2 linked regions of the Arabidopsis thaliana genome follow. The protein of the gene in region 1 interacts with the protein of each later gene in a pairwise test. Each region holds a gene or a part of one and is shown in the gene's direction. Other genes may lie near its edges.

The links. Proteins that work in one complex are often made in the same cells at the same time.
Region 2: the proteins of AT5G55950 (region 1) and SOBIR1 interact in a protein complementation assay, tested with the Arabidopsis thaliana proteins (one large-scale study listed by BioGRID).

What each region holds. Positions count from the first base shown.
Region 1 is NC_003076.8:22,657,392-22,662,257, reverse strand, and holds AT5G55950 (Nucleotide/sugar transporter family protein), read left to right. Parts: upstream 1-1,752; 5' UTR 1,753-2,004; coding exon 2,005-2,083; intron 2,084-2,231; exon of another isoform or gene 2,232-2,299; coding exon 2,300-2,451; exon of another isoform or gene 2,452-2,536; coding exon 2,537-2,745; intron 2,746-2,823; coding exon 2,824-2,917; intron 2,918-3,015; coding exon 3,016-3,182; intron 3,183-3,268; coding exon 3,269-3,439; coding exon of another isoform or gene 3,440-3,500; exon of another isoform or gene 3,501-3,522; coding exon 3,523-3,847; 3' UTR 3,848-4,146; downstream 4,147-4,866. Other genes in the region: emb2731 (Uncharacterized protein family (UPF0172)), read left to right, coding at 4,364-4,585.
Region 2 is NC_003071.7:13,553,056-13,557,775, forward strand, and holds SOBIR1 (Leucine-rich repeat protein kinase family protein), read left to right. Parts: upstream 1-1,838; 5' UTR 1,839-1,864; coding exon 1,865-3,790; 3' UTR 3,791-3,922; downstream 3,923-4,720. Other genes in the region: TEJ (Poly (ADP-ribose) glycohydrolase (PARG)), read right to left, coding at 176-361, 459-701; RAP, read right to left, coding at 4,045-4,113, 4,310-4,392, 4,484-4,720. UniProt on the Arabidopsis thaliana protein: Dual specificity kinase acting on both serine/threonine- and tyrosine-containing substrates. Acting as a counterplayer of BIR1, promotes the activation of plant defense and cell death.

The sequences.
Region 1 (4,866 bases):
TCTCCTGTCTCTGTGATTATTGTAAGATCGACAGATTTATTTCTTCTATTCCAAAACAAGCACTCGATTAATATTTACTTACACGTGATTACCATTTTCTTACTATTTTATTTTATGGCACGAAGTTCCATTTCTTGATTATAAATTTTTAATATTACCGTACCAGAACGTTGACCCAAGTTTTCTATCAGGAAATTTGTTAGGAAATGACAAATTAGTGCTTGATATCATGCATGAATCATGATCAAAAGTTGGCCCCATGTTTTTAAAAACATGGGCTAAAATTTTGGGAAAAAATTAACGAAAAAAAGATTGATGAAATAATTCTGTCAAGTACATAATAAATTCATAATACGAGAATTACGTGAATAACCTAAATTTTGTATCAACATTATTAAAAAAAATAGTGTAGAGTTTCATAAATTAATAAAATAATTTAAATTCAAACTCTAATTAAATCTAACCTCTAGACTTTAAAATCTTAACTATAAATCCGTAATGCATGGAAACATTAATTCTTCTGTAAAACAATAAACAAAACAAAATGGTCAATTGTTTAGAAAGTTCAGTATTTTAGTTAGATGAAAAAGATTTACAATAATAATTGTGTGATTTATTGAGTAATGATCGGGTTTATTCACCAGCCATCAGGCGGCTGATCGGGCCAGTTAACTAACATAAGGTCTGAATAAAAATGGGCCGAATCAATAAGGCTCGTCAATCTCAGTCTTGTGCTACATGTATTTTCACTTCTTCCACTTCCAAGTTCAAACAAATTTCGCCAAAATGGGATTACCTTTATGAACCAAAAGACGACCAGGGGACCTGACTTTATCGGTGTTAATGTTTCAATCATACTAAAATCGACAGAAATTAAAGTAGTGGATCCACAAATCTTACATTTTTATTAGAATAAGAAGTTTACTTATACAAAGAGATGATGACGTGGCCATGCAAGCTTTTTGTTTTATTACGTAGGCCCTCGGCTCCAAAAGTTTGTTGAGACTTCGAAATCTTGGAATTAAAGCTTCTCGTTTTCGAGGTCAAGCGTACATGTTAAGTCATTTTTATTCGTAAAGTGATAATAAGCTTTTTAAGTATCATCAACTTTCATCACTTATACATAAAATTCATTTAATTTACTCTTTATACGTATGACACTTAACCAAAGCTTTTGCTATTTAATCATTTGGCTAACTAACACTTCTTTCTTTCTTTCTTTTGGTAGGTTGCGGAACTAATTAACGCTACTCTTTCAAAGTTAATTTTTTTTACTGATAGTGTTATGTTTCCACAACAGTATGTTGCGTGAGGTGACGTCTATATGCTTATGACTATAAGCTAGCAGCTTAAACTATGTACAAAAATGTACAATGTCATTATTGTGATCACAAAATTGGTAGTTAGTTAATGTCATATATATATATATATATATATGTGTGTGTTTTAATTTTGTTAGGTACAGAGGCACTCTTGTAAATAAAAACTACCACTAAAATCTGAATGTTTTGTGCATTAAAAAAGAAAGAAAGATAAAACCTCGTACCGATCTGAATAATTTTTTATCAATGAAGTCACAATTTTGTACGTTGATGAAGTCAACACGTGGCAAATTACAAACTCGACAATTTCCTCAAGAGAAACAAAAAAAATCCCTGAAAAATTCCTCAAAATTTTCTTAATTTTCGAGATAAATTGATTTAAAATAAAATAAAACAGAAAGATACGCAATGAAACTGCGTTTTCAAGCAAACTGCTAAATTTCTATCTTTTTTTCTCTCTCTCTCTCTCTCTATAAGGGCTCTGCTTCTTGTACAACAGCCGAAACAATTATACCATGACATTAAAATCCAGATTTTTTTCAGTCATTTTCGTATTATTTGTTTAAAAGTAAAGTTTTTCTTCCATCAAAATGGAAAATGTGATCTGGTTTTTTTCTTAGAAGATATTAAAACAATCGGAGAGAGGATTGCAAATTTTTTATTTTTGTTAATTTGCTGTGTGATGGGTCTGGTTGATTCTTTGTTAGGAAAAGATGCAAGAAAATTTCTCAAAAGGAAAGATAGTGATGCTGCAGAAGCAGGTACGTCATTATTATAACAACAATTCATGAATCTGCCTCCATATTCTTCATTTGATTTGCCTCATCATAATTCAGATTTCTCATGATCAAAAATGATGCTTTATTTATTCCCACGTTGTCTCTGTTCTTCACCGTTTAAGTTAAATGGTTTTGATCGGATCTTTAATGGTTTTGATCGGACCTTTAGGCTTTTTTGATCTGTTTGTGAATTTGTAGGACGAGCTTTGGAAGAACTCAGAAGTTCTTTGTACAATGAGCTTAAAACATCAGAAGGAGCTAAAAGGCAACAACAGAGATTTTGTGGCCCTGTTGTTGCAATGTCCTTTAATTTCGTTGTTGCTGTTGGAATCATCCTTGCCAATAAATTAGTAATTTGGTTTCTTCAATCTCAAATTCTTCTTTCTCTTTTTTTTATTTACCATGTGAATGTAATTGTAAGGTTGAATTGTGCAGGTGATGGGAAGAGTTGGATTCAATTTCCCAATCTTTCTAACATTGATTCATTATACCGTGGCTTGGATTCTTTTAGCTTTCTTCAAGTCTCTCTCTTTGCTTCCAATGTCTCCTCCATCAAAGACAACACCTTTCTCATCTCTTTTCTCTCTTGGAGCTGTCATGGCCTTTGCTTCTGGACTCGCTAATACCAGTCTCAAACACAATAGGTTCATAGCTCAATCGCTAAAGTTTGAATCAAGATTCATAGCTTAAGCTTGAAAGCTTTTGTTCTTCTTTGTTTCCAGCGTTGGATTCTATCAAATGGCTAAGATCGCAGTTACACCAACGATTGTTCTTGCCGAGTTTGTTCTCTTCAAGAAAACCATTTCTTCCACAAAGGTTTCGCTTATATCTTTTATGACATGTCAACAAAACAATCAAGAATTCATTACATGTTTTTGGTGCTTACTCTGTTTTTGCAATTTGTCCTCTTACAGGTCATGGCATTAGCTGTAGTATCTCTAGGTGTGGCAATCGCGACAGTGACGGATCTAGAATTTAATTTGTTTGGTGCATTAGTTGCTGTTGCTTGGATTATTCCAAGTGCCATTAACAAAATACTCTGGTCTAATCTTCAGCAACAAGCTAATTGGACTGCCCTAGCGTAAGAAATAAGAATCTCTCTCTTTTACTTTTACTTGAGGTGTAAGCAATACAAGTCTCTTAAAATAAAGGCTTTATTGAATGTAGATTGATGTGGAAGACAACACCGTTTACTGTCTTCTTCTTGTTGGCTCTCATGCCATGGCTTGACCCACCTGGAGTTTTGCTTTTCAAATGGGATTTAACTAACTCTTCCGCAATCCTCATCTCGGCTCTTCTCGGCTTTCTTCTCCAATGGTCTGGTGCACTCGCTCTCGGGTTAGTCTTTTTGTTCTCTTGCTTTGGTTGGAAGTTCAGTCTTGAGGTTATAAAATGCTAACTAAATTTGTTGTTTCTTACAGGGCAACATCAGCAACATCTCATGTAGTATTAGGGCAATTCAAGACATGTGTGATCTTGCTTGGAGGTTACGTTATCTTCGGCTCTGACCCTGGTTTCATCAGCATCTGCGGCGCTATCGCAGCTCTTGGAGGCATGTCTGTCTACACGTGGCTCAATCTTCCGGGGAAATCCATCGATCACATGTCAAACAAGCAGCTGCCAAAGCAAAACGTCACCGTTTCAAAACCTAAAGCCGAGGCTGACGACGGAGGAGGAGAGACCGGAGTAACCGTAGTTTCTGTTGACCCACTTCTCTCCAAGACGATAACTGCAAATATCGTATAGTTTTACAATTTGATTAGATTGCCAAAGAGAAAAAAAATGAGTTTTACTTTTTCTTCTTCAGGTTTTAGTTTGTAAAATTGGTTCAGTTTTGATATCAAATTAGTGTAGTAAAGTATACTAATAAAAATATTTTGATATCATAATGTGACAAGAGGGCTTGGTGGGTTTATTTGTACGATAATGAAATAGATGGTGTAGTTTAGAAGTAATGTAAAACTTGATGTGTATTTTTTTTTTTGTCGTCACTTGATGTGTATTATGAGGTGCAATTAGTAAATATAATAAACCTTTTTGACTTTTTCTATAATTTCAAAAACTTTAATGTAGTAAAGTGAAAACTTGTGGGGAATAGGGTTTTCGGTGATAAAATCGGGCTGACCCGAACCCGGTTTAGTGCGAGATTCCACTGTCCGTCGTTAACAAAGGAGCTAAATCTCAGAACGATTTCTCGATTTGCTTTTGCGACATTATAATTTTCCTTTCAATTGACTCAGTGAGTCGCCGATCGAGTTAGAAATGGGAATGGGAAGTAACGGAGAATTGAAGTATGAGATCTCCCAGAACGCGTACATCAAACTCGTTCTTCACTCGCTGCGACACAAGACGGCGGCGGTCAACGGAGTCCTCGTCGGTAGAATCAGCCCTAAGGACGACGGAGTTGTAGAGATCTCAGATTCTGTGCCGCTCTTTCACTCTAACCTCGCTCTCCTTCCTCCTCTCGAGATCTCCCTCATCATGGTTCGTATCTCTTCTTATTCGAATCGATTTGATTTTACGAGCTTTGAAATTGAATTTTGAAAGAGATTATGATCTGATTGCATTGGTATGTATATTGAATTACGAATTCTGGAAATTTTTAGTTCGTGTACTAAGCTTGAGCTGCATATGTTATTATTAGCTTGTTCTTAGTTTTCTATATGTTTGCTTGATTCTCAGTGAAGTCTTATTGTTGTTTCTATATTAACATAGAAATTTCAGATCTTTATGTGTTTGTTCTGTAGCTTTGTTTGTACCTATAT
Region 2 (4,720 bases), on another chromosome or scaffold:
AAGAAAAGCAAGAATCCATAGAGACTATATCTTCAACACACAAGGTAATCATCCAGTAAGAACACATGTATATTCGACGTAATTTCCTCCCCATAAATCACTACTCAAGAGTCAGGAATAGAACCAAAAAAACACCTTTAGCTCAAATGTAGGAGATAGCACTTTGTATCAATACCTGGCTGAGGAAAACAATGCCAGCTTGTTGGGAATTTAACAAACGAAGACCGGTTTTGATTCCACTAACAATATTATCAGCATTTTGGAAATGCACTTCTAACAGAGATGGAAACTGTAGAAGTAAGCTCGCCAATGCTGGGATAATCTCATCGAACCATCTCTTTGATTCTTTCTCATCAATCAACTGCGAGTACCAAAAACTTAGTTCCACTACTCAATTCGATTTGAAGATACACTCAAATCCAAAAGCAATCACCATAAAGTTAAAAAGAGATAATTACTTCGTCAAAGAGAAATGCGTAGCCATTAGAAGCAGATGGCTCGAGAGTAGAGAAAGATAAGGATCGTCTCATATCGAAAATAGCTTGCCGTAGAACCTCTCCTGAGTCAACTTGGCTGTGAGATGGTCCTTCAGACATTGCCTTTAACGCCTCCACCACACGCGGCGGCCAATACAGCGACGACGAACGAATTACAAGTGGAAGGTACGGAAGAATTGAGTTAAGATCTTCGCGATTCTCCATTTTTCGATTTTTCTAATCTCACAGCTGTTCTCAATTGCTTTTGAAACAGGTTTACGAATCGCTTCTGCGACAAGATTCTGCTGCCGCTAGAAGATACTCAAGTCCCGGAGTAAAAAATCTAAAAAAGTCAAGAGTGCGAAGGCGAAAGGCAAACCGGTTTTGTAGAACCGGGAAGTTGGAACTTGAACCATATCGGTAATGTATTGGTTTAGTGGCAATAACATCCTCGTTAGCTATCTGGTTAACTCATTTTAAGTTAAAAGCCAGTTTCGAGTTATTTCACACTCACCAGTTTGGAATCTTGATACAGACAACGAACGTATTGACGGAAAACGCTAAAAGAAAGTGACTGGAAAATAGAAGGTGTGTGTAACATAACATTTATTTTTTTCTAACGTGTAGGAAACGGTGGCTCACTATGGAACCCACAGCGTAGACTTTGACTTATCAACGCTTACATAGTCAAGTCAATAACAAAATTCGCTATATCAATAATACAGTTTTGCAACTTTCTATATTCACATTTTCTACTTTATTATTTTCCCATAAAACTTCCTGGAAGAATTTAAATCAAAAAAAAAATGTACAATTTAGCCCATTTCACAGGTCAGGATTATCAGTTTTTATAATGGTTTTTTCTTCTTTAGACTTTAATTAAAAACAGAACTCTTATTAAGAATATACAAATAATTCAAAAAGTATACGCTGAATCAATGTTTCTCCAAAACCATTGATAACTAAATATCATAATATAAAATACAATTTTGTTAGGAGATCTTATGTAAGAATTCAGTAATCTATCATTAATATCAAACTAATCAAATAAAATACTAGCAATAGAAAACCCCATTTTTTCGATATGAAACCGGGGCTTGGATGGATCCCTTGAACAAACCATAAATTTTTCAAACTGTTAATTTAAGTTTACCAATTATATGTATAAGTGTATAACAATATTAAGAAATTAACTTGTGAATATATTTTGTAACTTTATTTTTTTTGGGTCAAATATATTTTGTCACTTCAAAAATAAAGTTTTAGAAGAAAAAAAAAACCACGAAACACGTAAAGATTTCTCAATAGATTAGTACCAGTTGCTGACCATAAATAGACAGAGTGTAGACTCCGACAACATCCACAAGAAGAAACTTTCTCTAATTAAAATGGCTGTTCCCACGGGAAGCGCCAATCTCTTTCTCCGGCCTCTCATCCTCGCCGTTCTCTCCTTTCTTCTTCTCTCTTCATTCGTCTCCTCTGTTGAGTGGCTCGATATCGATTCCTCAGATCTCAAAGCTCTTCAGGTCATCGAAACAGAGCTCGGAGTCAACAGTCAACGTTCTTCGGCCAGTGATGTCAACCCTTGCGGTCGCCGAGGAGTTTTCTGCGAGAGACGGCACTCTGCCACCACCGGAGAATACGTTCTCCGTGTCACGAGGCTCGTCTACCGATCCAGGAGCTTGACGGGGACTATCTCTCCGGTCATCGGAATGTTGTCGGAGCTCAAGGAACTTACTTTGTCTAATAACCAGTTGGTCAACGCTGTTCCGGTGGATATCTTAAGCTGTAAGCAACTTGAAGTTCTTGATCTTCGGAAAAATAGATTTTCCGGTCAGATTCCGGGAAACTTTTCTAGTTTGAGCCGTCTTCGAATCCTTGATCTCTCTTCGAACAAGTTATCCGGGAACTTGAATTTCTTGAAGAATCTACGCAATCTGGAGAATCTCTCTGTTGCAAACAATCTCTTCTCAGGCAAAATCCCGGAACAAATTGTGTCGTTCCACAATCTCCGGTTCTTTGATTTCTCCGGAAACCGGTATTTGGAAGGTCCGGCTCCGGTTATGAGCAGTATCAAGCTTCAGACATCTCCACATCAAACAAGACACATTCTTGCTGAAACTCCAACTTCAAGTCCCACGAACAAACCCAACAACAGCACTACATCAAAAGCTCCAAAGGGAGCTCCAAAACCAGGGAAGTTGAAGAAGAAGAAGAAGAAGAGCAAGAAGAAGAAAGTAGCGGCATGGATCTTAGGGTTTGTCGTTGGAGCCATAGGAGGAACAATCTCTGGGTTTGTCTTCTCGGTGTTGTTCAAATTGATTATTCAAGCAATAAGAGGATCAGAAAAACCACCAGGTCCTTCCATATTCAGCCCATTGATCAAGAAAGCTGAAGATTTAGCTTTCTTGGAGAATGAAGAAGCGTTAGCTTCTCTGGAGATCATAGGAAGAGGAGGTTGTGGAGAAGTTTTCAAAGCTGAACTACCAGGAAGCAATGGGAAGATCATAGCTGTGAAGAAAGTGATCCAACCGCCTAAAGACGCCGATGAACTAACAGATGAAGATTCCAAGTTTCTGAACAAGAAAATGAGGCAAATTAGATCCGAGATCAACACAGTCGGCCATATCCGGCACCGGAATCTTCTCCCATTGTTAGCACACGTGTCAAGACCCGAGTGCCACTACCTCGTTTACGAGTACATGGAAAAGGGGAGTTTGCAAGATATATTGACTGACGTACAAGCTGGAAATCAAGAACTAATGTGGCCAGCGAGGCACAAGATTGCTTTAGGTATAGCTGCAGGGCTTGAGTACCTTCACATGGATCATAACCCACGAATCATTCACAGAGACTTAAAGCCAGCCAATGTTCTTCTTGATGATGACATGGAAGCCAGAATTTCAGATTTCGGACTGGCAAAGGCAATGCCAGATGCAGTCACACATATTACAACCTCGCATGTTGCAGGTACTGTGGGATACATAGCACCAGAGTTTTATCAAACCCACAAGTTCACAGATAAATGTGATATCTATAGTTTTGGAGTGATTCTTGGGATTCTGGTGATTGGGAAGCTTCCTTCAGATGAGTTTTTTCAGCATACTGACGAGATGAGTCTGATAAAGTGGATGAGGAACATAATAACATCGGAAAATCCTAGCCTTGCGATTGATCCGAAGTTGATGGATCAAGGATTCGATGAACAGATGCTTCTGGTTCTGAAGATCGCCTGTTACTGTACTTTGGATGATCCAAAACAGAGGCCGAACAGTAAAGATGTCAGGACCATGTTGTCCCAGATCAAGCACTAGTGTTTCAATATGTATTGTTTGCTTCTATCTATATTTCCTAGATTCCTGTTGCATACGAAATAACTATGAACACAATCTTGGCAGAAATTTGTAATGGCGACTGTAAAATTTAAATGGATTTCAATTATGATTATTGCTCTAAACATAAATCATCAATCTACTATAAGAATCTTAGCTATATACATAACGGAAAAGAACACTTGATTAACAACCTTAAAATGACAACACATTACATGTTTGGTTACTTGTCTTCTCTATATGCAGCCGGTGAGAATCTCCCTCAAATATTCTAGCTGTTCATGACTGCCTTCATGTTCTTCCCACTAAAAATAATAAAAACAAAGTCAACACATGTTCAGTATGTACTCCTGATTGAGATGGGAAAACATATCAATTATGCAAGAGCATGTGAGATCTTTTTACTATTGAACAGAACAAGTATTCTAAAAATGGAGACAATTTCTTATCCTAGCAACTCAATTTTATATCAGTTTCCATTTTTCAACGTTATAGACCCACCTCTTGAAGAGACAGAGATACCACTTTCCATCCAGCAGCAGCAACATATCGCCGCTTCAGCATTGTATGCCCTAATGGTAGTCCTGTAGAACACAAGAGTCGAAATGATCATTAAGTTTGGGTTGGCTCCACCAGACACCAATATATATTAAGAAACAGAGTGATGTCACTTACCAGAGTTTCTTGAAAAATGAGTTGGCCCGTCGATTTCTAAAGCAACTTTCTTCTCGACCAGAGCAACATCCACGGTGTAGCCATCCACATCATGTTCTTTAGCCCAATCAAGCCCTGTACTTATAAGAAGGCGTCCAACTTCTTTCTGAAACGATGAGGTTATTTTCTGATTGAATCTTTTGGTTTTTCCTGCGCGGCTTATTTTTTCTTCGAGTTCTTGACAAAGTGACAACTGAA